Oryzias latipes: one gene and its partners. The protein of the gene in region 3 interacts with the protein of the main gene of each other region in a pairwise test. Links are inferred from orthologs where the notes say so. Each region holds a gene or a part of one and is shown on either strand. Other genes may lie near its edges.

Evidence for each region.
Region 1: the proteins of ewsr1 (region 3) and khdrbs2 interact in a two-hybrid assay, tested with the Homo sapiens proteins (2 studies listed by BioGRID and IntAct). The two-hybrid records come from large-scale screens. The link is inferred for Oryzias latipes from reciprocal best matches to the Homo sapiens genes EWSR1 and KHDRBS2.
Region 2: the proteins of ewsr1 (region 3) and prmt1 interact in a two-hybrid assay, tested with the Homo sapiens proteins (2 studies listed by BioGRID and IntAct). The link is inferred for Oryzias latipes from reciprocal best matches to the Homo sapiens genes EWSR1 and PRMT1.
Region 4: the proteins of ewsr1 (region 3) and atpaf2 interact in binary tests that used the Homo sapiens proteins (3 or more experiments, as listed by UniProt). The two-hybrid records come from large-scale screens. The link is inferred for Oryzias latipes from reciprocal best matches to the Homo sapiens genes EWSR1 and ATPAF2.
Region 5: the proteins of ewsr1 (region 3) and mvk interact in a two-hybrid assay, tested with the Homo sapiens proteins (2 studies listed by BioGRID and IntAct). The two-hybrid records come from large-scale screens. The link is inferred for Oryzias latipes from reciprocal best matches to the Homo sapiens genes EWSR1 and MVK.
Region 6: the proteins of ewsr1 (region 3) and ataxin-3 interact in binary tests that used the Homo sapiens proteins (3 or more experiments, as listed by UniProt). The link is inferred for Oryzias latipes from reciprocal best matches to the Homo sapiens genes EWSR1 and ATXN3.
Region 7: the proteins of ewsr1 (region 3) and fragile X mental retardation syndrome-related protein 1 interact in a two-hybrid assay, tested with the Homo sapiens proteins (2 studies listed by BioGRID and IntAct). The link is inferred for Oryzias latipes from reciprocal best matches to the Homo sapiens genes EWSR1 and FXR2.

What each region holds. Positions count from the first base shown.
Region 1 is NC_019873.2:24,545,697-24,550,121, reverse strand, and holds the start of khdrbs2 (KH domain-containing, RNA-binding, signal transduction-associated protein 2), read left to right. Parts: upstream 1-1,468; 5' UTR 1,469-1,739; coding exon 1,740-1,830; intron 1,831-4,425. UniProt on the Homo sapiens protein: RNA-binding protein that plays a role in the regulation of alternative splicing and influences mRNA splice site selection and exon inclusion. Binds both poly(A) and poly(U) homopolymers. Phosphorylation by PTK6 inhibits its RNA-binding ability.
Region 2 is NC_019866.2:24,804,347-24,808,519, reverse strand, and holds the start of prmt1 (protein arginine N-methyltransferase 1), read left to right. Parts: upstream 1-1,306; 5' UTR 1,307-1,402; coding exon 1,403-1,429; intron 1,430-2,327; coding exon 2,328-2,423; intron 2,424-2,499; coding exon 2,500-2,655; intron 2,656-2,731; coding exon 2,732-2,795; intron 2,796-2,864; coding exon 2,865-3,007; intron 3,008-4,082; coding exon 4,083-4,170; intron 4,171-4,173. UniProt on the Homo sapiens protein: Arginine methyltransferase that methylates (mono and asymmetric dimethylation) the guanidino nitrogens of arginyl residues present in proteins such as ESR1, histone H2, H3 and H4, FMR1, ILF3, HNRNPA1, HNRNPD, NFATC2IP, SUPT5H, TAF15, EWS, HABP4, SERBP1, RBM15, FOXO1, CHTOP, MAP3K5/ASK1, MICU1 and NPRL2.
Region 3 is NC_019867.2:12,693,635-12,698,129, reverse strand, and holds the start of ewsr1 (RNA-binding protein EWS), read left to right. Parts: upstream 1-1,587; 5' UTR 1,588-1,637; coding exon 1,638-1,653; intron 1,654-2,109; coding exon 2,110-2,149; intron 2,150-2,308; coding exon 2,309-2,360; intron 2,361-2,998; coding exon 2,999-3,128; intron 3,129-3,276; coding exon 3,277-3,478; intron 3,479-3,625; coding exon 3,626-3,882; intron 3,883-3,998; coding exon 3,999-4,158; intron 4,159-4,495. UniProt on the Homo sapiens protein: Binds to ssRNA containing the consensus sequence 5'-AGGUAA-3'. Might normally function as a transcriptional repressor. EWS-fusion-proteins (EFPS) may play a role in the tumorigenic process.
Region 4 is NC_019877.2:3,256,407-3,260,635, forward strand, and holds the start of atpaf2 (ATP synthase mitochondrial F1 complex assembly factor 2), read left to right. Parts: upstream 1-1,422; 5' UTR 1,423-1,666; coding exon 1,667-1,790; intron 1,791-1,876; coding exon 1,877-1,921; intron 1,922-2,018; coding exon 2,019-2,167; intron 2,168-2,248; coding exon 2,249-2,346; intron 2,347-3,801; coding exon 3,802-3,882; intron 3,883-4,005; coding exon 4,006-4,118; intron 4,119-4,229. Other genes in the region: gid4 (glucose-induced degradation protein 4 homolog), read right to left, coding at 1-71, 422-481, 867-1,058. UniProt on the Homo sapiens protein: Plays a role in the assembly of the F1 component of the mitochondrial ATP synthase (ATPase).
Region 5 is NC_019867.2:13,196,891-13,199,330, reverse strand, and holds the end of mvk (mevalonate kinase), read left to right. Parts: intron 1-306; coding exon 307-417; intron 418-543; coding exon 544-697; intron 698-1,215; coding exon 1,216-1,367; 3' UTR 1,368-1,799; downstream 1,800-2,440. UniProt on the Homo sapiens protein: Catalyzes the phosphorylation of mevalonate to mevalonate 5-phosphate, a key step in isoprenoid and cholesterol biosynthesis.
Region 6 is NC_019880.2:12,489,129-12,493,552, reverse strand, and holds the start of ataxin-3, read left to right. Parts: upstream 1-1,569; 5' UTR 1,570-1,613; coding exon 1,614-1,658; intron 1,659-2,127; coding exon 2,128-2,292; intron 2,293-2,369; coding exon 2,370-2,414; intron 2,415-2,498; coding exon 2,499-2,584; intron 2,585-2,671; coding exon 2,672-2,738; intron 2,739-2,813; coding exon 2,814-2,901; intron 2,902-2,974; coding exon 2,975-3,104; intron 3,105-3,178; coding exon 3,179-3,336; intron 3,337-3,427; coding exon 3,428-3,584; intron 3,585-3,724; coding exon 3,725-3,780; intron 3,781-3,926; coding exon 3,927-3,973; 3' UTR 3,974-4,424. Other genes in the region: E3 ubiquitin-protein ligase UBR1, read right to left, coding at 1,419-1,463. UniProt on the Homo sapiens protein: Deubiquitinating enzyme involved in protein homeostasis maintenance, transcription, cytoskeleton regulation, myogenesis and degradation of misfolded chaperone substrates.
Region 7 is NC_019876.2:28,856,970-28,860,688, reverse strand, and holds part of fragile X mental retardation syndrome-related protein 1, read right to left. Parts: intron 2,967-3,719; coding exon 2,914-2,966; intron 2,304-2,913; coding exon 2,210-2,303; intron 1,529-2,209; coding exon 1,457-1,528; intron 375-1,456; coding exon 226-374; intron 121-225; coding exon 27-120; intron 1-26. UniProt on the Homo sapiens protein: mRNA-binding protein that acts as a regulator of mRNAs translation and/or stability, and which is required for adult hippocampal neurogenesis. Specifically binds to AU-rich elements (AREs) in the 3'-UTR of target mRNAs.

The DNA of each region.
Region 1 (4,425 bases), on a different chromosome or scaffold from region 3:
AGGAAGGAAAGCAGCCGGCACGCTGTGCAGGAAATGGCTTTTAGATTCGAGTTAATATCAATAATGTTGGAGAGCAAGGAAACATTTTAGATGAGACACAAATATTATTACATCTCTTCCCAGAAATGCTCGAAAGTCCCTTTGTGCAAGTCCAAGTGAGGTCTGAGGTCTATAGTCTATATTTCTATATATAAGTCTATATCTATATACAGCTTGTGCATTTCCAGTTCAAAATCATTTAAAGAAAGCTTTGATTTTTACACCTGACTGAGAGATTATGTTGCCAAAAAAAGAATAAACAAATAAACTTTGCTATCAGGACCCAAACCTTAGGTCTCAATTCAAGGCTCAAGTCTCTTCATGAAACACAAATGCGACTCAAGTCCTCTCGTATTTTTTAAACATGTCACAGTGTTTGCTTGATTTTTGCTTAGTTTTTTGAGATGATGTATAATAGTAAGAAGAAGCTGAAAATTGCCTTATCCAAAATGCAGCATCATAACAGACAATTGATTCTTTGATAACTTTGTCTGTTTTTTCCCCCCTTTATTTTAGTACTCTTGCCTCACAGCAAGAAGGGTCAAGTCCCGGCTGGGGGACCTGAAACAGAATCACAAATGGAGGACCATTCTGTGAGAAGTTTGCAAGCTATCCCCATGCATGCCTGGGTTTTCTCCAGGGACTCCGGCTTCCTCCCACTGTCAAAAAACATGCTTCATAGGTCTAAATTGTCCTTAAGTGTGAATGCAAGTGTGCATGGGTGTGTGAATGTGCGTCAGACTGGCGACCTGTCGAGGGTGAACCCTGCCTTCGCCCAATAGTGGCCAGGATAGGCTCGAGCAGCCCTTGATACTGAAATGGATAAAACTGGATTAGAAGACAGATGAAAAGATGGATGTTTATTTATTTATTTGAAGTGAAAATCTGCAGTGAAACAAAATGTCAACAAGGAAGAACAATAGAAGATAAATCAATTAAATAAAGAAACTCTTCCTATCTCCGAGAACTTTGAACTCTGGAAGGCAAAACCTAATGAGAAAAAACGAGCTTCTGTGAGTCTCAAATCAGATCAGCACCATGGACAGCGACACAAACAGAGCCGCGGCTCTGCGGATCACCCTGATGTGGATTATTGACACCAGCGGACAGTCTGGCTTGTCTGGACACAGCCGAGTGTTGTAAGAGGTTAGTTGTTGCGTGACATTAATTAAACTGCAAGTTTTCACTTTAATCTTAAATAATCGAATTGACAAGTTCATTTTGGATGCACTCACTCTGTATTTGTTACTTGGTTCATTTATTTCAGATTAAAACCACATTTTCCTCTTGGACGTGCTGAACTCTCAGGCTGGTGGTGCTAATAAGACGAACTTGTGTGTTGCATTACCCTCAGTAGGGAACTCCTCAGCTTTTCATCAGCACTGATTCTTCAACGTGGCCAATCGTGTGAAAGGGGCGGGGACGCGCGCAGCGATGCCCGGGAGTCTGGCGGGTTGCCGACAAGAGGCAGCTGCAGCCGGGATGGGCTCACACCTCTGAGTCACTGCTCAGCCTCTGGTCAGGTATTTTGGACGTTTTGAGGTGTGTGGTTTTTTTCTGGGCGTTTCCCCTCTGTTGTTATTCAATAAAAGCAACTGCAGCCACTGTTAGGCAAGAGGGGAAGAAGGTACAGCTGCACTCCGACGTTCAGCACTCCAGTGATCACACACCTGCTCCGCTGCTGAAGAGCTGTGATCAGAATGCATCCAGATAAGTGTTTACCTGAACTGGTGGCAGAGAAAAACAGCCTGGATCCCTCTTTTGTGCACGCGGTGCGTTTACTGGCAGAAGGTAAGTCAGGTTTTTCTTTCTTTCTTTTTGTCTACAATCTGCTGCATACGCTGCAGATTGCTGGGCACCAGTCCCCGTTCTGTTAGTCTCAAAGCATCTTCAATTCAGTCCAGTACAGAGAGGTTTGTGGAGATTTTGACACATATTTCTTTGTCCTTTTGTGCTTCTTGGAGTAATTGCCCTCAACTGCACTTTTTTAGCTTCAGTCCAGAACTCGACAGATTTTCTGAGCAAAGAAAGTTGAGGTTAAAAGGAGAAAAATGCATGACTGAAGTTGAGAAAAAAAGCCAGCATGTTCAGTGAAAGAGCTTCTAGGTGCTGCAGGCAAAAGTGCAACACTTTAGCAGAGTGACGGGATGGATCAAGCTCTCAGTGAAAACATAGTGGCTGCTTTTCTTGTAAGAATCGTTTGCAAATATTTTTTAGATGCACGTTTACAATAGAAAGAAATAAAACGTTCAAATATACAAGATAAATCATGTTCAATCACAATATACAAGCCTTTTTTATATGTTTGAATTGCTGTTTCTTATGTTGTTTTTTTTTATTTATTCGTATAGAATTTTGTTGTTGTATTGATTCGTTGCAGTCCATGTCTCTTTTTTAGACTATTTTTTCATGGTTTTGGTGTAAAGACAACTGTTTTTCTTATAAACCTTTCTTTAAAAGTTCATAAAATAATACGCCAACACACACAATTACTGCAGGGTATCTCTTTAATTGTTAATTTTGGATGTATGTGAACTAACAAAAGTGCACCAGAAAGAACTGCAGATTATTCAACTGAATATCTGCTGTCTGTATTTTTTAGAAAAATGTACAGCAGAATACAATAATGTTCCGCCAAAGATCCTCATTGTGCATGTGTTCATTTATATTCAAAGAATATAATACTTCAAGAGGAAGCACACTAGCCCAAAGCACGCACAGATACTAATTTGAAAGTTAGTAACTTTGGCATTTCTGGAATGGACATGAAGCTTCCAATAATCAAAGTCCACACAAAGCGTTGGGATAAAGAAATGTGACACAAATATAATTACATTTTGCTAGAAAAAAAACATTGCAGAAACTAAATACACTTTTTTCCTGTACTTTACCATATATTTTGTTGAATTGATCATGTGATTTTACTAGGCAGATTAGTTTAGTTTACATTTCTTAATCAAGAAAAGCAGACAAGTTTTACCATTTTGTTTATGTATTTATGGAAGAACTGTGCTGTGTTCATATTCTAACGGTTCTGAGGGTTGCTGTGCTCTGATTTTCCAGCCCCTTAAGCACTACTGTTGAAATGTGTTGATGAAACACCTCACAGTATGGCCTTTGCCACTTGCTGGGGTGTAGATCATCTGTTACACAGAATACTTTTTCAGTCAGTGTTGACTCACACAGCCAAAATTCCAATAAAATATGTGCAAACTAAAATGCCCCCTTTTTTCTTCTTTGAGTTTTTCATTAGCACACTTGAATGTCACTTAGCCCTAATTAACATCACATTCCAGTGTGGATATTCAATAGTTGCTGAGAAAATTTGCAGCATTTCCCTGATAAAGTTAGAGAATCTCGTTTCAAGATCACCTCTGAAACTTCAACTTTTCACATCATCCACAACAGATACCAATCAGAGCAGTCAATCATGTTTCCCACATCAGCACAGAGCATATAGAAAGAAACAGGCAGCACAAGAAAGCTCTTTCTGTGATCCACTGTCACAGAGCTCTCCCATCCATCTTTGCAGCGTAAAAATGCAGCATCATGCTTATTGGTGGACAACAAGATAAAATGCATTCACTTGTTATAGATTCAGGGGCGATTTATCATTGAGCAGAATACAATGCCATCCTTCATTATTCACATTATACACAATAAACCACAAAATATGGATTTACAACAGTCTTGGTTAACGTCTCCCAATTTATTTAGTGTTACTGCAGTAAACTATCCTGATGTGAAAACCTTTTGTTTAAATTAAATGTCCAGAATGACATTTTCATTTTTATCTTTCTTTTTCTGCAAATCTCAAGGTTCCTGCATCATTTTGATCTATCAGGAAGAAGTCAAACATTGGGAATTTTCCAAAACCTTTTTCAAGATAACATTGTCTGTAAGTTCCTTTCGGTTTGTTGGTGCTAATCCCCCCCTATTCCCACCAACACTATTTCCTTCAGGGAAACAAACTCAGTTACTGTCAGTATGGTGTGAGCCTAATGGCTGCAGAGACCGACAGAACAGGCAGCTGTTGGGTGTGCTTTTAGTTTCCTTTGAATAAAGAACACAGTGGGTCTTTTTAATAGTGGGTGGAAGACAGAAACAAGAAAGGCAAGCTCTTAATAGATCCCAGAGGTTTTCTTGGTAAGACTCGACAACGTGCTAGGTATAAAAGCCAAAGGGATTCCTAATGAGAAGACAGGGAGGCAGAAAGAAAGGATGTGATGGACAAAAAAGGGAAGCTCTGGCTGCTGAAGAATTTGTATCTGTGTTACATCGCAATATGCCTTTTTTTCTATCACAAGTCATCTTTCACATTTCACTTTAGGAGTTATAAAATGTCTCATTTTAGTTCATCAGACTTCTTTTGTGTATATATATACT
Region 2 (4,173 bases), on a different chromosome or scaffold from region 3:
ATGGAAGTTACACCTTTTTTTTTTGATTGCAAGAGACTGGACAAGATTCACATTTACACTTTTATTGTTCATATTGTAATTTGTAGACAGACCATGTCATACCAACATAGAAAAAACCCACTGCAAACAGTAACACAAAGGGGAAAAAAGATAGGACAATATTCTGTCCAACAGTCCAGGCAGTGCAGTAGGAATTGGTGTGGTCTTCCTACACCTCTTGTCGTTCCTGTATGTTAGGCCACAAATTCTCATCCACATCACAGCGAATATCCTCTCTTGCAATGCAGCGAAATATGATTGTCACATTATGACAACTTGGTCAACCATTTTGCAGTTAATGACTTATACGATGAACTAATGACTAGGAGTTTTGAGGAGTAAGACTATTGCACAGTGAACTATATAATACATTTTGATCAACATGACATAAACAATTGATAATGTAGCAAAGAGCAGAGAATTGTACATAATCATTTGCATGGATGTACCAAAGCAATTGCAACTTGTTCAAAGAAGTGAGAAACTGCTTATATGATGTGCACAAGTGACATCATGATGTGAAGATTGAACAAATAGTTTTGGGAATTTCATTCTGATCTGACAATTGTACTAAAGCGACTGAAAAAAACTGTAATTGCTTAAACAAAAGTTTTCTTTTGCCAAATTGTGTGAAAGTGAGAAAATCGTTGAGTCCAAATCCCTTCACTATATAGTGCGTCTACAAATCTACATTTCAAAATCCAGGGCCCTAGAAATATCCCAGAAGTCTCTACGAAAAACCAGTGAGCATGGATAGATAGATAGAAAGATAGAAAGAAAGATAGATAGACAGACAGACAGACAGACAGACAGACAGACAGAGAGACAGACAGACAGACAGACAGACAGACAGACAGACAGACAGACAGACAGACAGACAGACAGACAGATAGATAGATAGATAGATAGATAGATAGATAGATAGATAGATAGATAGATAGATAGACTTTATTTAACAGTTTTTAATATTTTAACACATTTTGTTAAAATATTTTTATTTCATTTTTTTTATAAACCAGCAGTTTCATTATCATTACCCAGTGGATTCATAAATTGTCTTTTTAAAGTGTTTGTAGCATTTTTTTATAGTTTATTTTGGGAAAACGTTGGTAAATGTATAGTGAACAGGTCCTGTGGAGCCCATAAAATAGCCCTCACCCTCAGGAAGGTTAGTGATTCCTGCCCCAGATGGTGGTAAAAGGGGCAAAATGCAGAAAAAATGTCTCACGGGTAAAGCGGTATTTCCACCGTCTGTACAGTAGGTGGCGGTGTAGGCCTTCAACGCAGATTCAGATTAAATGTACGGAGGAAGAGAAGGAAGGACGGAGTAGAAGAAGAAACGGACTCTTCGCTGTAGATCGAAATGGCGGCGCCAGCAGAGAGGATGGAGGTGAGGTCTTTGAGCGGGAAAAACGCTCATTTGTGTTCGAGGAAACGTCCGCGAGTTTTCCCGCAGGCTCCGGAGCGGCGCTTCGCCGGTGTAGAGGGGGTGTTAGCGCTGGAGTTTCCGGATGCTGCCGCCGCTCATTCATCACAGTGTCGCATTTACGAGAAAAACAGGGGAAACGGTTAAACTCTTCAAACTGGCTTTTGTTTACGGTGGGGTCTGGTGTGTATTTTCGGTTCGACGCTGAAGCGACGGTGGGGGGGCGGCAGGCACGCAGCTGGCGGTGGAACCGGCAGAGCCTTCGGACCGCATGGAGACTAACGTGCTAGCTGCCGGGCTAATTAGCAGCTCGTGCTAACACGCTGATGCTGAGCTCGGATCCGCCGGACGTTAGTCTGCCAGAGTTTACGTTAAAACTCTCGATCAACGTGATCCACTACGGAGCTCCACGTGGGTCACTCCACCCGCGCGGTGCCGGTTTACCGGAAACCTGAACTAGCTTTTCTGTCGAGCCTGGAGTGGAAAACCGGCGAGCGGGTAGTCCCACTGTTTCATCCCGGACTAGACTAGAATCTTCGGTACCGGTTCTGCCGTCCTCTTGAGTGTCCCGGTCTCTGAGCTGGTCCAACAACAGAACCTTGTTCTGGAAGTTGGTCGTCACGTGTGGCTTTGTTACGACCGAACCGACGTTACCGGGTGGGGGTGGGGGGTAGGATAACTCTAACTTCCGGTGGTCTCATGGGGCATCGGGTCCACGTCCTTTGTTCCTCTGAGGCAGCGTTAACGGATCGGTTGTTTCTCTGTCTTCTGTGTTGCCTGGAACCGGACCGGCTCCTCGGCGGTTCCAGATCACGTGACTCCTTTGATCTGCAGACATTCATGGGGTTTTTCCTCCTTTGAGGTTTCTCAGGGAGAGAGCTCAGCCAAGCCTGCAGCTGAAGACATGACATCCAAGGACTACTACTTCGACTCCTACGCCCACTTTGGGATCCACGAGGTACGCCTTCGTGTCCCGTTAAACCTGCGGCCCCCGGTGCCCGCGTCCTCAATCGCCCTCTGCTCTGTTCCTGCAGGAGATGCTGAAGGACGAGGTCCGGACCCTGACCTACCGCAACTCCATGTTCTACAACAAGCACCTGTTCAAGGACAAGGTGGTGCTGGATGTGGGCAGCGGGACGGGCATCCTCTGCATGTTCGCGGCTAAAGCCGGAGCCAAGAAAGTCATCGGGGTAGGAAGGCGTGGACTCGGCTTGGCGGCGCCCGGTTGCGGCGCCTTGTCTCATCCGTGTGCTTCTGCCGTTACAGATAGAATGCAGCAGCATTTCTGACTACGCCGTCAAAATAGTGAAGGCCAACAACATGGATGACGGTGAGTCCACCGCCGTCCGGTGTTGACCGCTGAATGTGGAGGGAAGGTCCTGACCTCTTCTGTCTCTAGTTGTGACCATCATCAAGGGGAAGGTGGAGGAGGTGGAGCTGCCGGTGGACAAGGTCGACATCATCATATCGGAGTGGATGGGCTACTGTCTGTTCTACGAGTCCATGCTCAACACAGTCATCTACGCCCGCGACAAGTGGCTGGTGGGTGTCTCCTTCTGGACGTCAGCGCTTCCTCCAAACTAGTAACTGTAACCACTGACTGTATGTGAGACCTGGACTGAGGGAGCGGGACATGGAGCTGCATGGCATGAAGAAAATTAGCCACCAATATTGCAACAGACAAACAACAACAACAATATAATTGATATAATAATGAGATTTTTTAAAATAAGTCAACAAACTGTACTGCCAGTTCTGTCAATAGGAGATGGGTAAGCGGGTAAATGCCCCCATCTACCCGGTCAAGAACAGACTAGATAATTTGTGGTTGGGTGTGTTTTAAACATTTGTCTGACTGTGCATATGTGTCAACGTTTACGCCCTCTTTGCAATGCGGGATTGCTCAAGTTGATATGGCCATGTTGATTGTTTTTTGATTTTTTTTTTTGTGCAGGCCTAGAATTACGTCAAACGATAGAAAAGTTCAAAATTAAATTTTTTACGCTGCCATGTTGAAGCCAGACAATGTCAGTGAGCAATGATTGGTCTAAGTTGTTTCTATGACAACCAATCAGAAGAGAGCATGTTGGAAGGCCACACCCCTACCACTTAAAGTGGGCTACACGAAAATCTGTCAAACGTTTCTAACACAACCTACTTTTGAGGCTTCTGATTGGTCAGTTTATTGTTTGAACTACAGAAAAAATATTTAAATTATCAATAGATTGTTAGGAAAAGGCATCAGATCCAGAACGGTTCTTCTGACCAATAGAACACAGGACGAACAGCTGTCTGTTTCTCTATAGACGTCTATGGGACATTGGCTTCTTGGAGTCACTTCCTGTTTGGAATGCCAGAAGGGAGGGGTTACTCAGTCCAGTTCTCTGAAACAGTCAATGGTCTTAACAAAAGTACGACATTTCAATGATAAAAGTTTCTACCAAAGCTGAGCTGACGGCAAAGGTTGGCGGCTGGAATTCTGGGAATCCCTCAAAGATCCTCCTGGTGGCTCTAGAAAGGAGCTTCTGCTGTGAACACAGTCATGATCGGTTCATTGAAGATGTTTAAATGTAACCCCTGAGTGTGTTCCTAACACTCATGTCCCCCTCCCTCACAGAAGCCGGACGGACTCATTTTCCCTGACAGAGCTACTCTATACGTCACGGCCATTGAAGACCGGCAGTACAAGGACTACAAAATCCACTGTG
Region 3 (4,495 bases):
GAGGCTATTCGTGACAAACTAAACATCCCTGAGCAGTTAATCCATATATTGTTTCCCTTTTTTAAAAGGTAAACTGAAAATAAAATTGTGGTAATTTCAACTTCCGCAAATCTTCTTCTACTTTTTTAGATTTTGTTGGTTACAATGTTAGAAATTCCCTTTACCGCCACCTACCGGATGCAATGCTCAAGCAGGATGTGCACACATCTTTTATTAGTTTTTATTCCAGTCCCCACTAAAACTATAGCTCAACAAATAATGCTGCAACTCTATGTGGAAGGCCTATGATTGGGAGACAAAAAATTAACAAACAAATTTTTTCGAGAGATTTTAAATAATTCATATTACCCTTCACGTTTAAAAGAAAATATATTTTGAAGAATTACAGCACCACAGAAGCTAAAAGGATATGAACATTATATCTATCATATCCTATCCCTCACAAAACAAAAGATGTGAACTTTAAAATATTAAATGATATATACTCTTCCAATCATTTTTTTACATTCTCGCTTTAACTGGGATGGTGATCTTTGTGTCTTTTGTGGAAAGGATGTAGAAACGGTGGAACATTTTTTCTTTGAATGTTTGCATGTAAAAGAGTTTTGGTCTTCTTTTTTTCATATTTGGCTCAAATCAATAAATATCATCATTAACCCTTTAAAATCTGGACTTTCTGATTTATATACTGGTTGTAATTTCGAAGCATATTATACATACTTGTAAATCCTTAAAGGTGAAACCTCACATTAATGGATTACTAAACCGTCTCAAATTATTCTTTAAATCTTTACATTACATGAATCATAGAATTGACATTGTATAATTCATTGATTTATTTAAACTTTTGCAAAAGCCCCTTATTTTTATTTATTATTATTTTTTAAGTTACATTTGTTTTCATATTTGTTTTTTGTCTACCTTTATCTCAGCATTGATATTGTTGTCATTGACAAACATGCCGTGATTGTTTGTTATATAACAACAACAACAACAAAGTTTTGTCACATAGTAGTGTTTTTTGAGAAGACATGAAATTGTATTTAAAATAAAAGAAACAAAATATGAAGATCCCACTGTGGTAAACTGGCTCACGTGTGGAGTTTTTAAAAAAAATATTTAATAATAATATTTTCCATATAATGATATGAATAAATTCTGATGTTGTAATGGATAAATAAATAAGATTTATAGTGCTTAAACTGTGTGGTCTGACAGATGATCTGCCTAATTTTAAAACTATAGAGTAGACTATTAATTAAAGGCATAGCAAGCCTGTTTGATGCAAAAAAGTACAGACCGCTTAACAGCTGAACTCAACTTTCATTACAATACTTTTTTTTTAATAAACTTTATTATTCAACACAAATAGAACAAGTATGTATGACAGGAACAATAGTCATAACAACAACAATGTCAGGGGATGGTACATGTATTACAAAAAGATTACAGATGCTATGAATTAAAAAGCAATTGCCAATAATGACGTGAGTATTAAACTTTATTTAAAATTCTATTAAAATTATGGGTCGTCTTCAAGTCTCGCGAGAATACACTGGTTTTCAAATGGGAGACAAACGTTTTTTTCTTTTTACCCAGAGTGCAGCGTCCATTCGGTCTTTCACAGGCAAGCTAAAATGGCGTCAGCTCCCGGTAAACGCAAAATTTTTACCAAAGTCACGATATTTACATTTATTATTCTTTGGAATTAATCTGTATTTGTTATTTAATGGTTTTGCATGTGGGTATTTTGTAGTATTTAGCGTTTATGTGGATTGTTTAAAAATGTGCCGTGGCGTGGACGGTGCAAGCGGCTTTGTGGTAGGCCTTGTTGTTTCGTGAGCTTCAACCATTTTTGCCGTTTTCAGTCTGTAACCTTGTTTTTTGATAATTTTTATATTTATCGTACATCCTCATGCTTAAAGAACTCAATCATTCATTGAACATTGTTCATGTAGTGTGTCCTTATCTTTAGCTAACAGGCATAGCATTAGCATTGAATTGTGACTCAATTGGCCCGTAACGTGCTAGCTTAATGGCGCGCAAACGAAACGTCGATGTTTCGTCGCATTTTAATTTAAAGTATTTTTTTTATCTTTTGTTTATAAGCAGATTACAGTTCCTACAGTCAGGCCAGTGCTCAACCAGGGTAAGCATTACTTTGTTTTATACCAATAAAAATTAAAAAGAATTATTAAATTAGAAGCTCTTCAGTCAACAACAGCCAGGAAATAAAGTTAAATTGGTTGATACCCATGTCAAATTACAGAACAGCTTTGGAAGTCTTTTTTGGATATTTCTTTTGCAGGTATGCCTCTTATGGCACCCAGCCATCACAGAGTTATGGACAAACAGCACAGGTGAGATTTGTAAAACAGCAGTTTGATGATGTGTGAAAACTACTGTATCACTATTTGGTCATATGCTGGCTCCTCTGTTCTTAAACCCGTTGAATCTTGCTATAAAAGAGCAATAAAACTGCTGGACAAGAATCACCGTTCCTGCCATCATCAGTCACATTCTTAACAAATATAAAATTCTAGGTTTTGAATCTTTCAAATCGGTTTTTCTAAGGTCCTTCGTGGTTTAGTCCCTCCAATTTTTAATCACAAATGACAGTAACCAGAACATTTTATGACTAGACATTGATTTAGAAAAATATATAAAGTTAAGATTTATACTGTTTATATTTTGTGTTTTCTTTTACCTCTGTTTTATATTCAATTTTCAACGTGTAGGTTCTTCTTAAAATCAGTTTTTGTTTCTTCAGTAACATTTACCTCCCAGGAGACGGCATATTGAAATTATCCTGTGGCCAAAATCCAACATCTCTTTTTTAAATGAATGCATATCAAACGCAAAGACTTTAATTAAGTTTAATTTATTTTATGTGATATTCATATAATTTATATTTATAAATGTAGGTAGTTCCTGGTTGCATGTGCTTGCCTAGCAGCTAAAGTAGGCTCTGTTCTAACAGCAAAGTTATGGTCAACAGAATTATGGATCATACACCCAGCCTGCTGCAGCTGCTGCAGACAGCAGCTACACCCAGGCGACCCCTGCAGCTGCAGGATACCCTCAGCAGCAACAGCAGTATAGCTCCTCCTATGGACAACAAGCATCAGGTAGGTTTTTCTCATCAGTGATCCCATTTGGATTTATTAAGACTGATGGATTGATAACAGTCTAAATGAATACATGATATTTGCTTCTGCTTTTAAAGTTTGCTTCAAACTGGTGCCTGCATTTAGCATGAAACTTATTTCTCCCCAGCTGCAGGCTATCCCGCTGCTCAGTCTACAGCTCATGGCTATTCGCAGTCAACTCAAGGCTATGGAGCCAGCGGGTATGATAGTACTCCAGCTGCAGCTACCGCTCCAGCCGCATCCCAGTCGTATGGCTCCCAGCCAGGCTACACCGCCCAGTCCGCCTACACTGGTTATGGTCAACAGGCAGCTCCAGCTGCACCGCAGAGGTAAATGTGCCTCCTTAGGAAGAAAAAATAATCACACCATGTAAATTCTTCAGTTGACTTGAAGTTATAATACACGACTCATAAGGATGATGTAATGTCTCTGTGATCATGATCAAAACAGACCCCTTATTTATTTTGTCTCTATAGTTACAATGCTAGCAATCAACCAGCTAGTTACAGCCAGAGCAGCTACTCACAACCTGCGTCATATGGACAACAGCAGGCTGGTTACCAGGGTCAACAAGCAGGTTACAACCAGCAGCAGGGTTACCAGCAGCAGACAACTCAACAACAAGCTCCACCTGCCTACCCTCCTCAAACTGCTGGTTCTTATGGTCAGCCTCCAGCCAGTCAGTACAACACACAAGGTGGACCACCTAGTTACAACCAGTCCAGCCATTACAGTACGTTTTATGTTGTGCTTTAACTCCATATATAAAATGGAGCTAAAGAACAATTTGGTTTGGCTCTGTGCTCACCCTACATGGTGTGATCTGATGTTTGTGTTGTTCCTTCATAGGTAGCTACAGGCAGGATGGTCAGGGTGGAAGTTCTGGTTATCCTGGCTCTGAGCCCGGAAGGTACTCAGGCCCAGGGGACAGCAGAGGTCCTGGCAGGGACGGCTTTGACCGTGGTGGCATGATGCATCGTGGTCGCGGAGGCATGGGGCGTGGAATGGGGTAAGTGTGCTTCCTTAGTGTCTTCCATTGTTTTGCCTCTGCAGGTGCTGTAACCATTTGAGGCAGGGCTGAGACAAGTCATTTCAGACATTTGCAATTAACTTTCTTGTAGATACAATGCAGCATTGAGTTATTTGTACGCTGTTACTGAAATTGACTTTTGTTTGAGTACCGGGGTGTTGAATCTCAGTTTCAGAGAGCTGTATCCTGCTTGTTGGATATGTTGCTATCTCGATTCGGTAGCAACATAGAAGGGGGAAAATTACATTCATCACTGACGGCTGGGATTTGACACCCCCTACTAAAACATGATGGTCATTAGTCTTTATTAGCCTTC
Region 4 (4,229 bases), on a different chromosome or scaffold from region 3:
TTTCGGGTGAGGAACGGCCTCTTCCTGCTGATGATCTCCCCGGCGAAAAAAGTGGTCAGGGTCGGATATTCCTACGAAAATGTGCAACTGGATTATACCAACAATCTTGTTTTGTAAACTTTACAGCGTTAAGGCTAGGTTATCGCTATGTATAAATCATTAATAGAAAATTAAGACGTTTAAAAATATTCTAAGCAAATCGATCCCTTAATTAAAAATATCTGCACTTCAGAGGCAGAACAAAACAAAAAACTATGTAGAATTATTTGGCTCACGATCAGTTGGACTAATATTTAGTCATTGCAAGAAAAATTACACAAAAGGTGGAGGAAAAACTTGCAAAAACATTTAAAATTCTAAGTCCAGTTCATCCACATGTACATATTCCAACATGAATCCTCTAAATATGAACAGAACTGACCTCTGTGAGTCCTTTTATTTTCAAATAGCCACACAAGTAGGAATCCTCCATTGTGACATGCTGTAACAAATAATAAACAGAACTTTTAGGTCAAATCTCCACTGAATTTATGTTAAAAAAAATAACAAAAACAAAACTTGACGGTCAGAAGCTGCAGTTTCTCAAAAAATGTCAACAGCCCCTAATGTTGCAACATTTAAGCTAGTTGTGATAGTTTGTGTTAATTTAAACTGGTAGAAAATTGTGCAGCTGGTTGTTGTTAGTCGGTGTTGTTTGGGCGCAGTTGCTCTGCTACTCCCACCACTACACCCACAGTTGGTCCAGGACAGGCCGGGACCCCCTTTTTTTTTCAGCTGTCACTCTTCCAGCCGCCACTTTGACACATCACCCGAAAGCCTCGCGCTCGCAGTACGAAAAGCAACATTTCCGCCTCGGTGCCCCCCACCTGTAAGACCACCTCAACGTCGTAGGAGTTCCCTTTGCTTTTCTGGTGGCCTCTGAACTTGGAGCCGCTGTACAGCAGCGACGTGACAACACCGGGCTGGTGAGTGTTTATCGGCGGCAGCGGGATAAGCGAGGCCGAGGATGCAAAGGCCGCGGCCGGGAACTCGCTGAGATATCCAGCGGGGACAGGCATAGCTCCAGCTTCGCAGGCTGAACTCCAACCGCGGTCAACGGCCGTGCGGCAGCGGGACTCGGTCAACCTGTACGACCAGCCAGAAAGAAAGTCCCGAGGAGGTCCTCAAACATTCAAATTGCTCTTAATTGCGCCACAGTTCAGTTTGCGAAGCATCAAGCTCCCCAGAACTAAAAGTGGACTTCGAAGCTGCGCTGTAACCAGTAGCAACGGCTTATCTCATTGGTCCAACAACTTCACCCTCGAAGATCGTCGACGCTCATTGGCTGAGCAGGCGGAAGAGTATTCGTGAACATTTTTGATGTAGTTTTTAAGTGATGTGTAAGCGTTAGCAGTGCCAAAAATAAACTACATTTCCCAAAGCATGCAATGAAAACATTTTGTAGCTTTGTAGCATCGAAGGTCACACGCGTGGTTTTGAACCGATGTGTTACTGTAAGCTAGATGAAAACCTTAATGTTTAACAACAGATTTATTGTAGAGTCAGGTTCATTATACACTCAAGATCTGTTTGTTCAATGTGGTACTTTAGTGCGTGAGAGACCGGCTTAAGAAATCGCTAGTGAATCGTCTTTTTTATTGTAAACAGTATACGTCCAAATTTAGGTATGAATATGTTTAGACGTGTTTTTCAACTTCGAAATTCCTTTGGAAATGTAATTTCAGTTTGCAAGTCGTGTCCCAGTCATCAGTACTCCAAGTGTTTGTCAAAATACTCCACTGCATCTACAGGTAAACGTGTTTATTTTGACATTACTATTATTAATTATCAATATGCTGTGTGCTAATCATGTGCTACATGTTTTGCTATTTGACAGAGAGGAAGAGATTTTATCAAGATGTCAGCATATCTCAAGGAGATGGTGAGTCTTATTTAAAATTTAAAATAATTTTATTTATTGTTCCAGGGAAGACCAAGATTGATTATATTCTCTAATTTTGTGACGATTTTGTCCATAGATGGTTTGTATGAAATAAATCTGGATAGAAGGAAACTCAAAACTCCAGGAGGGAAGCTGTTCACAGTACCAAATGAAGCCCTGGCTATCGCCGTGGCAACAGAGTGGGATGCTCAGAGGGGGACACTCAAGTTTTATACCATGCACCTTGTATGGGATATTTTTTCTGACCTATTTACACCACAGTGTGTAGCCAGCCGTACTCATATGCCGGTTGAACTTTTCTTGCAGACCACTTTGTGCAACACGGCTCTGGACAACCCCACCCAACGCAACAAGGAGCAAATGATCAATTCAGCGTTGAAGTTTTTGGAGACTGACACGATCTGGTATGGATTTAGCTTTTATACTGTTTCTGTCCAGAGTTGATGATTATTTGGCTCATTTATGCCGGTTACTCAGTTTAAAAGATAAAACACCTGTATTTCAAATCAATATTTTACTTGAATGGAGAAAAAATGTTCTTAATCTAGAGAGAAAAGCAACAAGGACTTCAAAATAAAAGCACCTAACAGAAATACCAAAACAATAGAAAATTCAAAATTAGGTTTGTTTAGATAAAAAGTACCCAAACAAATCCTGGACTTGTGAGATGCAACTACATCTAATATGTTTTTTTTTTTTTCTATTTCTCTTTGTAAAAAATAAAACGTTATCTGCCATTCTGTGCTCTTTTTTTGCAATTTTTTTTGCAAATAATAGTCAAAATGCAATTACTTTTTAGCTTTTTGAAAATGTTCGAACCTATTAATATAATTTAGACTTTTTTTTTCATTATTATAAATTATACTTGTATAATGAGATATATTGTTTAACTGTCAACTATGTATTAGATAATCCCTTTAGTTCTTTAAATTTATATATTACATATTTATTTATTTCCCTTGTCTTTTTAACTTTTTACACATATTTAAAAAAAACTTATTATCTTATTCAGAATTTAATTTAAACATTTTATTGTGGTCCTGAAATATTCAACTTCTTTACACTTGTCTGCTTAATTGTTTTATGGATACCTTAGTAGTTTTAGCAAACAGATTTGCATCAGTCTTTTATTTACAATTATTATGTTTTAGCTACTTTATTGTGTAGGTGTGAATTTGTAATACATTTATTGGCACTATATATCTTTTTACATTTTCTATTTACTTTAGCATATTAGCTTAGGATTTAGCAACGTTCACTTTCTTAATTTCTTTAGCTAATTAACAATTTTATTTTACTGTTTTTTTGTGTTGATCCTTTTGTTATTGTGATTATTATTAATAATTATGCAGTGTATTTTTAGTTATCTCCCTTTATTTGACTAATGTAGCATTTTGCACTAAACTGTAATGCCACTGTAAAAGAAAGCAGATGTTTTTAGCTTATTGCAGAAAACTAGCATTTTTGTTTATGGAAATAAAATAAAAGAAATGAATTTTGGAACTTCTATGAATTTCATATACTAGATATTTGCAGGAGAAACTTTTTTTTCTCGGTCCATTGTCAGATGATTCCAGACTCCAAAGCATTAAAAATAAAGAATTACTGTGAAAATGAATGCAACAAACTTTTTCTTTGACCTAATTTCTTTAATAGGACCATCATTGTCTGGCCAGTAAAGTGAAAGCAAGGTCTGTTTTGTTTTCACCGGAGATGGTTGCCATATACCTGACTGTGGAGCAGGCTGTGCTGCTCTCTTATAGCATCTGCCATTTGGCTGCCTCTTTTTTTTAAGTTTCATTTTCAGATTAAGTTACCTTGTTGTCACAAAACAGTGATTTATTTATGCTTTGATTCAGTTACAGAGTGGAGGATCCTCCTGGTTTAGTGGACCTACAGAAGAACGAGTGGGATCCGGTTCTGCACTGGATTGAAAACCGGTAAAAAAAATAAAACAAAAGCATTAATCTTCACATCTTGTGCAGTAGACTTCCAAATGATGTAGGAACTGTCTCAGTAAACCATACATTATTATGCATTTTCTCTGTACTATTGCATGGCAGATACAATGTCACTATTGGATCTTCATCGAGCATTCTGGGTCCTGAAATTCCACAGGCAACCAAGGAAACTTTTCGACAGCATCTCAATTCTTACAGCCTCTGGTCCCTGACGGGTAAGACATCTCAACTCCAGAAAACGTGATCATCTATAGATCTCAACTTGTGCAGGCTGAGATGATGTATTTATTGTTTTTGAAATGTTTAAGAATTGTGTCTGTTTCTTT
Region 5 (2,440 bases), about 500 kb from region 3:
ACGGGCAGTGCTTTTGCATGACAGATGCCTCAGAGGCCGAGGTCGAGTCCCCCCATAAAATATTAAAATGAAACTCTTAGCCAGCATCCTTCTGTGCGGTTTCCTTGGTGACACCAGCAGGTGTTCAGAGGTTTGCCTCAGACTGAAAGGGCCCTGCATGGTGTTGTGGCAATGCTGAGGACAATCCACAGGGGAATTTTGTAATCCGTGCACAACCTGTCCCTCAACAATTCCTGCTTCATCACACATTCCTAATGGAGTTTAAGCTAGACATATTAAATGGGTTTGTGTTTTTTTTTTTTCCAGTTTCCCTCAATAATGAATCCTGTTCTTGACTCAGTTGATGCCATTTCTTACACTTGTGAAAAAGTCCTGACGTGCGAACCGATCACAGGAGAGCACTACAGTATTCTAGAGGTACAGATTATCTGTTTAAAAAAAAGTACTTATATGCACAAAGTATAAGCTGTTACTTCCAAGAATCTTAAACTTTGAGCGCATATGTTCAGGAGGCTTCATTTTCAGCTGTCTTTACCTTTTCAGGAGCTGATTGATATCAACCAGCACCATCTAAATGTTATGGGTGTTGGGCATCCGGCTCTGGACACTGTGTGCCGGGTCACATTGGCCAAAGGGCTCCACAGCAAGCTAACAGGCGCAGGGGGTGGAGGCTGTGGCATCACGCTGCTGAGACCAGGTGCTATACGCTGCTGTTAAATCTGTACTTGTGAAATAAAAAGGGGGAAAAAATTTCATTTAAAAAAAAAAAACTTTTCCAAAATCTCTGTCACAAATTTTATATTTAAAATAGTTTTTGAAGTGATGTCGTTCAGTTCTTGTTTGTTTTCTACTGGAATAATTTTATATTAACGAGTAGAAGGAGGATATGAATAATTTTTTTTTGTCTGAAGCAGCTCTTGGATTATTTGAAGCTAAAGCATCTCAATGGGATGTTTCTTTGTTGTGCAGCTGTGACCCTAATGTTGATCTGGCACTGGGCTTTCCTCAGCTGTGGAACAATAACAGATGGGAGATATTACAGGAATTTTGCCAATTAAAGACTTTTTGATGTTTCTGGATATATAACCTACTTTTTATCTTTTTTGGACAAAAAACCTGAATAATGCTTTACTGCACAAAACCATTTTTAATAATTATATTCCTTGTTGCCCTTTTTAAAATTGTTTGTTTTGTTTCTTTTCTTTGTTTTTGCAGAAACCGACTCTTCAGTGGTCCAGAACACCATGCAGGATCTCAAAGACTGCGGCTTCGACTGCTGGGAAACGAGTATTGGTGGACCAGGTGTTCAACAGCATTCCCCTTCCTCTGTGAAGGAGGAAATTCTGGAAATTTTAGAGCAGTACTGAGCTCACTAAGGAGATTTGCTACAGGGAGTAGCAAAACATTGGTTTACTAAGGGGAGATTTAAGCTTTAAATGTTGTCTGACATGAAGAAAAAGTATCTTTTCCATGGCTAATTTTTTTTAAACTAACATGAATCAAAAACTTGCTGCAACATTTCAATGCTATACCTACTGTTATGAAGCACTTTGTCCACTAGGTGGCAGTATAGGAGCACAGATGCTGTTTAACGGTTTACAGGTAGAGAAGGAAGATTCAGTGTTAAATTCTTCCTCAATTTGGATGTAAACTTTTAAAAGACAAAGGTGATATTAAAGTTTTATCCATGACATAAATCCTTGAAAATATTTGTATGTCATTCTGATTTTAACTGAAGTATAGTTATTTAGTTTTACACCTTTAAAAATAATTAAACTGTAATATTTCAGTTATGTTAAGTATTTTCTCGTCATTTTTTGCTGTTGTGTGTGCTAATAGAACAGGGAGGACAGCATAAGTGGGCAGCGTCTCTGAAGACTCAGGATTAGCGCCTCTCTAATATGAACAAACAGCATCTAGTGTCCGGTTGGGTCGCTCATTGCACACACTGTAGCTTCCCAAAATTACCCTCCACTTATTGCCTCTTTTTTTTTTCTTTTAAGTATAGCAACATATTCTGCAAATGCCACAGACACACATGACAGGCCTGTTTATAAAATCCCCCATATGGGGAAAAGGTCACGTGGGATTCCGTCGGGTTTGAATATCCATTTCATTTTCTATTTTTTAAATGTCATGAAGATTGAAGAGTCCGAATCCGACCACACATGTGAGTCAGCTGCATTTGTCACCTCCTTCTTTATGTGAGGGCAGCTGCCCCCCACCCCCTACCCGCTCTCAGCATGCTGCACTGTTGCCCCCAACCCTCGCTGGAATTTAATTAGCACTGTGCGTTTCAATTGAAACAGTATTGATGAGGGTGGATGGATGTGGGGTGGAGGACGAGTGCAAGCCCTGTGAGGCACATGTGATATTTTTTTTTATCTCAAGATCAGTGCCTTCTTTCTCCCCCTCTGATAAAAAGATTTGGAAGGTGGGG
Region 6 (4,424 bases), on a different chromosome or scaffold from region 3:
AAAATGTAGAAAGGATGATGCACTTTTAAAAGAGATAACAGATCTAAGTGGGGGATCTTAAAAAAATGCTGGAGGAATTCACCATAAGAGAACATATCCAAACATTAACTTCAAAGGCAGCATTATTATGTTTCTTATAGATATAATCCAACCAGATCAATCTGTCCGAGGCAAATTGATAATTGCATCGACCTTTACTATTATAAAATTGTTTCAAAATGAATCGATTAGAGCTGATATTAGTGAATACCATCTGGATTGAGGCACGGTAAGTTTATTTCACAACAACATAAATATGAATCGGTGTCATCACAGAGGACAACACACATGTGATGGCTGCAAAAAAGGATCAATCCATAATTACAGTCCAATGTGTGGAAACACTTTTTACAAAGACATGTGACCATAAAGTGTGGTAGAATGTTCTAATAATGTTCTGTTTAGATTATTTTGTTGTGGGCTGAACTTTAGGAAACTAAAATGTCAATGGATTTGCCATTAATCCCTGTTCACTTGTTTGCTTGTACACATATTTAATTCACACTTTATTATTTATTTAATTTACACATTCTTGCAGGAGAATCCTTCACCTGCTCTACAGTACCCAGGTATTTATCACCGAGTCACACACTGGTTGATTTTTTGGCTAAAATGTCCTGAATCGATTTTCAGTCTATAAATCGTATCGTTCAAAATGAACCAATATCACCTATGAATCATATCAGCAACTAAAAAATATAATGATATGAATCAAATCATGGTTAAAATTTAACGTTACACCCCTACTTTCTAGTCTTTAGTGCCTTGAACTACAGACAACATATGATCATGTGTATATAGAAAAGCTAGAACATTGTTACTGAATTCTCCAAATCTGCTTTCCTTTTAGGATATAATAAACTTTATAATAAAAGTCCAATGATAAGTTAGTGTGAAGGAAGATTAGCTCAACAAATCGGGATGTAAATAGTTGGCAGGATCATTGTGAAAATTTAAACGATAAAATTATGGTTCGTAATAAATGTTCAGTTTCACATTCATTTTTCGAAAGATACAACTTTTTTTCACTAAATTCTTCAAAAAAACAGGACTGATGCTCAGTGTTTAAAACTCGTAAAACGGGGTTTTGGACAAAACTAAGTACTAAAATATCAGATTGACCTACACATCTGCAAACAGATCGCGTTTCTGACGAAGATTCAAATCGCTGATGCTAAACAATACCGAAAAATAAACCTGTTTTGTAGCATCTCTAAGCTAGTAAAGCGGTTAGCCGTTTCCAGCTTCTGCCTGCTAGCTTTAGGACCGTCACTGCGCGTTGAGCCCGTTTTCTGTGTAGCATTTTATAACCCCACGCGTACGTGTCAAATATCCGAATCTCGGTAATAACTGTCAGTTTTTAATTTGCAACGCCATACCTTACTGAGCTCCAGTCCGTCAAGGTGTTTCTTACTCTCTGCCATATTTCATTTGCCGAAAAAGGAGGGGGGTTTCCTGTGTGACCAATATCCTTTCGGTTGTTGGAACGGAGCGAGGTTGTACTCCAAAATGATCCATAGAGGGCGCTAATAGAGATTGGTTCCCATCTTTACAGGAGTAGGGGTCAAAGTTGAATGTTTGACAGAAATCTAAACATGGATTCCATATTTCATGAAAAAGTAGGTTTAAACAATTTACTTGTGACATTAAACTGAACGCCTTTACTCGTGTGTAGTCGGAGAGAGTAAAGACACTTAGCATTTATTTAGAGTTTGTGTTTAGCCGGTGCTAGCTTCAATCTAATGTTATTTTGGCTTTATTCAGACTGCTAATGCTAACTCACTTGCTAACCAGGTGTTGTTAAGTTTCTTTAAAAGCTAATAGAATGAAGTTAGAAAACGAGTTTGCGGTATTTATTGTACACTTCGACTCCACCAATAATTATTAAAGAAAAAGGATACTAAAGTTGTATGTTGCTCGTTGTTTAGATGTTTGAAACATTATTTATTTTTTATTTATTTTTTTGTAGTTGCTTTAGCTTTTTGTATAATCTATCTCCAAGGTTTTGTAAGTTTTTGCACTCCATTTTGAAAAAGTGGAGACCTTTTTTTTTCTCAATACGTTTACGCAGTTATTCTTTGTTTTCAGCAAGAGGGTTCCTTATGTGCCCAGCACTGCCTCAACAACCTTTTGCAGGGGGAGTATTTTACCCCTGTAGACCTGTCCTCAATTGCTCATCAGCTTGACGAAGAGGAGAGAATGAGAATGGCAGAAGGAGGTATGGGTAGTGAAGAGTACAGGACCTTCTTACAGGTAAGTGGGGACAGGTAACAGATGTTTTCTGCAGTGGTACATGTATTTAAACAACTGTTTTAATAATAACTTTATAGCAGCCATCTGGAAACATGGACGACAGCGGATTCTTTTCAATACAAGTATGTTTATGTGCTTTGTCATATGATCATTAGCAATCAACTTTACAAGATTGTCTTATCACTCCTTATGACTGATTTTTATAGGTAATTAGCAATGCTCTCCGAGTGTGGGGATTGGAGTTAATTCTCTTCAATAGCCGGGAGTACCAGAGCTTGATGATAAATCCAATGTAAAGTTGTATTTTCAAGACTTCCTTGTATAGCAAGTCGATCCCACACCCACATTTAAATCCTGACTTGATGTCTTTGCCTTTAAGAAACGAGAAGGCCTTCATTTGCAATTATAAGGAGCATTGGTTCACCATACGCAAGCTTGGACAACAGGTATGTCGATTTTTATTTTTTTACTTTTCAATACGTGTGTTGATGCTTAATTTACTTATTTAATTATTATTACAGTGGTTTAACTTGAATTCACTCTTGACTGGACCAGAGCTGATATCAGACACATATTTAGCTCTTTTCCTGGCACAGCTACAACAAGAAGGTATTGTAAAGCCGACTTGTTTACACTATTGCACCTTTTGGTACACAAATACAAAAATAATGTATTTCTGCAGGATATTCCATATTTGTGATCCAAGGGAATCTTCCCGAATGTGAAGCAGAGCAGATTCTCGGAATAATGCGGGTTCAACAACAGCAACGGCCCAGGCTAATTGGAGAGGATGAGGCTCAGACAAGTTCAGGGTAGGTTTGTGGAAAATGGTCCTCGCTTGGATTACATTAGGTCTTGTTTGGACATAATACATGTCTGTTTTTAGAAGCAGATCCGTTGCTCGGGGGCAAATGGACGTTGTATCAGATGAGGCTGTGGATGACGATGAAGAACTAAAGAGAGCTCTGGCACTCAGCAGACAGGAAATGGATGTGGAAGATGAAGAAGCTGACCTTCGCAGGGCCATTCAGCTCAGCATGCAAGGTGTGCCATTTCAAAGCTCCAGGCTGATTTGAAAATATTTTATTATATTGGAATTTTTTAACCCTTTTTTTGACGTTTTTCCTTTAACTAGGATCAGGCATGAGTAACAAATCTTCAGAGTCTGATGTGGGAAATGTGAAATCCGAAAAACGGACTGTACAGAGTTCTACATGTGGAGATAAACCAGGCCAGAATGAGACACTTACTGCTGAGGAGCTGAGGAAGAGGAGACAAGCTTATTTTGATCGGTAGGATTTGATCTGTAAAACTTGAATTTAACAAAAAAAAAAACTTTCAGTAATATGTGTACACATGTTCAAAGGTCTTTTTTTAGTGAGCAGAAAGGAGAAATGTGCCTTATGAACCAGACTTTCGTATTATCTTTCAGGCAAGCACAACCAAGCATTCCACGACAGTTAGAAAGTCATGCAACCAGTGACTCTGGTGAGTAAACTCTATTTAAAATTCAAAACACCCTATATGTATAACACCCATTATATACAGTTTTTTGCATATCAGAATGAAAATGTAGATATTATTTTCATGTCAGAACAATAACCCAAGTATCCATTTTTTGCCCCTAACACCAGAAAAATCCAACTCTATGGAGGACCAACAAGAAAAAGACACCAAATAAAGTTGTGAAAGCTTTGCTGCTTTTGTCTACCAACGCTCTGAACTTGAAACCCTGTACAGGGGTTGGCTTCTCTCCATTCTCTAACCTTTTGCAAACGCAAACATACTGCAGCCAGAAGGCCGACACATGGTTTCCTTCGCTGGGTTTGCTGATGGGCAAGGGAAAGGCAGCACTTGGTCAAATCAGACCTCAGTGTGGTACAGAGATGGGGGAAAAGGGTGATCGCTGGACTTAAAAATGACTCATAATGTAGTTATTCCAAGTTTTCAATGGCCTTTTTTTATTTTACCATAGAGCCTTCTATTTCTTTACATTCTGGTTTTTGTTGTCTTAATTTTTTTTGAAAACATAAAGAGAAAATGAATGAAAAATGGGTTAACTTTTATGAAGTTGGATTCTAACAAGATGAATGAATGAAAGCCATAAGAGACCAATGTTTTAATCATTCGTT
Region 7 (3,719 bases), on a different chromosome or scaffold from region 3:
GCCGAGCGTTCGCCGGCAGAACTCACCAACACGATGAGCTCGTGCGTTGGCGCGCTGTAGAAGATGCAGTTTGCTCCGATGGCTTTCCTGAAGTCTTTGTGAACGTTGTCGTTTGCACAGCTGTCAAAAAGGAAAACCCCGCTTTGATGCAGACATCATTTATGAAAACAGAGGCAGAATGGTTCCACGCTGAGGGAGGAACGCTCATGCAGCGAGCAGACTCACATGTCCCTCAGGTCTTCTGGGACGGCGATGGGGACTTTGTAAAAAGTGTTTCTAGAGGAAGGGGTGTTGGGGTTCAGCGGTCTGATCCGCTCCGATGTGACGATCTCGTTGTATGTGGCGTCGCACGCCGCATATTCGATTACGTAGAACTGGAAGCAGCAGAGAGAGAAGCTAAAACACCCTTTGCTCATACATTGCAAAGGTAAACCCCTTTTGAACAGCGGCACAGCTGGATGACTGAAATTCTCTGTATTTTGGACGCCGCCAGTCGTCCTCGCGTCTCCAACATGTTTGAAATGCAGCTTCTGGTTGGAGGACCTAAGTGAGATCACGTCACGCCGATTTCAGCGTCGCTCTTGTTAGCTGGCTGCGCATTTTAGGGTTCCTTCTGAGATTTGTTTTTTAAATCTTTACAGGGTCTGTACCTCTCAGAGCTTCCCTCTCCTTACTCGCCGGCCCGGTGCCTCAGATCAGCTGATCAGCTGCTTCTAGAGGTACCGAGGTGCAGACGGAAGCTCAGAGGGGACACAGCTTTTGCTGCCGCTGCTCATAAACTCCATCACCGTCCATTTTCAAAACCCGTTTGAAAACTCATATAGTGTCATTGTTTTTATCTTTCTATATTTAATCTTGTGGTTGATGTGTTTTTCTTTTATTTCTTGTGTTCACCACTTTGTGTCGGCTGCTTTTGTATGAAAGTGCTATTTAAATAAAGTTGAGTTTGAGGTCGTAAAGAAAAAAATATATAAATATCCAGGTATTTAACAGCTGGGCATCGATCAAAAATAAAAGCTGAGACAGACGCAGCGTGACCGCTCCCCCACAGCTCCAGGCTCAAAGAGCTGAATTAAAGTCATCCGTCAACGCTGGACATTCCTGCAGGCTCTTATCACTCTGCTCCAAATAACAGCAGCAGACCTGCAGCAGCTCTCCAGGCTCCGTATCAGCGCAGATCTGCCCTTTCCAGAACTCCGCCTCCCATCCTCAACCTGCAGCTCAGACGGCCGACTAACTCCCAGTTAAAGCTGCATAAGCAGCAGAACTCCACACAGACGTTGGTGTGGAGTTCCTTCATCCAAACCTCCGGCGGGTTCATCTCCTTCAGCCTAAAAGCTTCCGCCACGCCGGATCTTCCAGCCACGGTGTTGGAATTAACTCAACAGAAACAGACCCTAAAGCCACAGGAGACGCCGGGAATGAGGTTTCCTCGTCACGACGGGCAGAAACTCACCTCGCCCTTCATCATTCTGACCCGCGCCAGCCACCAGCCGCATGGCTCCTGTTCGTTGGCCCTGGAGTACACCTGCCGGGAAAAAACAAGCCGTCACCCACCGGATCAAAAAAAAACTATTCTGACTGAAAAGGGTTTTTTTAACATGGTTTTCTCACGATGACGGACATAGAGTCAATTTAAATTGCATTTCTTTTTTCAAATCACTGTGAATCAGGAGCAGACAAAAAAAGAAGAAAGCTGAACGGGTCACAAGCAGTTTCTGCAGAAATGTCCCAGGAAACCTCAGCTTTTTGGATTTTAGTCATGTTGGAAAGAAGGCTCTGAAAATAGATGGAAAGATGATTGGAGTGGGACTTTATCAGAGATGAAGGTGTCAGAGCTGAACGAGGAGAAACACTCGTGATCGGTGATCGATACGGCCATGACTTCCAATCCATCAACAGATAGCAAAACAGCCCATCATTTCCATTTGACTGCAAGTGTTTTCTGTAAATAAACCTTTAAATAATAATATCACGTGTACATAGGAGGAGGATTTAATTGATTCAACTCTTCATGATGCCAACAGATGGTTTTGGCGTGCAGGTAAACAACATTTAAGCCAACCGTTCACGCCGTGTTGTGCGATAGGCGTATTGCACAGGCTGATAAAAAGGCGTGGATTCAGAAAGCAGAGATCACACGCCAAGACGCTGGCCGGTCTTGATGATGTGATGCTGAGGAGAATCAAAGGAGCGCAGCAGTTCTTACCTCCACCTCATCACCCTCCCCGATTTCCTTGTGGTAGTCGGCTGGGGGGGGCAACCGCACGTCGCTGAAGGGCAACTGTCTCTCTGGCTGCCAGCTGTGGCGGGACGACACAAAGCAGAGTCAGCCCCCCGCCAACAACAGAGAAGGTTGGTGGTCCCGGTTTTACCGCACCGGGTCACCAGATCTGGTGATGCTGCGGGTTTCCCATCGGCGAATGCTGCTCTTTTTATTGGACCTTTTACAACTACGAGGCCGGAAACACTTATTTTGTCATTTTATTCACATCTTATAAACAGAAATAGAATTTAAAGATTAAACGTTCTTTTTAAATCCGTATGTCTGTCAAAACAAATGCATCTTTCTTGCACTTTGCTGTAAAAGCGGCACCTCCACATGCCCTAAAGAGTAAAAAGAGAAGCCCCCCCCCACCTCGCATACTTCTGATCCCTATTTTTAGGAGGCGCCCGCTGCACGCCCTGCGCCACGCTAAGTGAGGCTAAGTGCGGCAGCAGAGGTGTGGTTAATAGAAAAGGACAGTGGAAGGGGCGAGGAGTCGCCACCGTTCCTGTGTAGGAGGGACGGTTAAAAAACGGGCAGGCGTGTACGGGCAGCTTGCTGATGGGGGTTCCTGAGGCCCAGCGTCCACTTCCAACCATCATTTAAGCAAACATCAAACCCACGGGGTCATAGAGACAAAAACTCACTTGTTTTCAAAAACGATTGTGAGGGAGTCTTCATGGACGTCTTTGATAAAACCCTGAAAGAAAAGAGAAAAAGTGCCGATGAGAGAGAGTGACGGACTTCATTTCCCAGCAGCCCTTTAGAGCGGGCTGCAGCATTGGAGCAGCGGCTGTAAAAAGGAGCATCACATCTCCGACGCCGTTCTCTGGCTGCGGGTTCAGCGCTGAGCAGTGTGAGGAGAAACCGTCTGCCACACAAACTGCGTTCAAGTGCTCGCTCTCTGGCTGTAAACCGGCGGGAAAGGCTTCCAAACCACGCCGCTCAAGAGGACAGCGGCAAGGCGAAGCTTTCATGAGCAGACGCCCCTCAGCCCGGCAAAAGCTGCCCTTTAGGAACCAGACGGGTCAGGCGGCTGGAAATGCTGGGCCGGGTTCAGCGAAGGGCTCAGCTCAGGAAAAACACCTGCACAGAAAGCTGAACGTGACACTGTAACTGCGTGCACGTTGGATGAGCTGGGCGTGGCGCCTGATCCACATCTGGTTTGTCACACGTGTGGCTTCTTACACCTCGAGTCATCACAGTTTAGCTGCAGATTTCACCAAAGGCCTCGCTGTCATGCATGAACCGCGTCTGCAGGAGTGACTGAAAAGGCGTGGATGTGTCGGAGTGGAGGACCGACAGATTCCCAAACACAAGTGGAGGCCCATTCAATCAGAACAGGGTCTGACTGTGGACCCAAAGGGCTGCAAGAGTCCCAGACCAATTAAATAAGAATGGAAAAAGGGGTTGATTTAACTATCCAGAGTCAAATGTAGTTATTTTTGTCAAT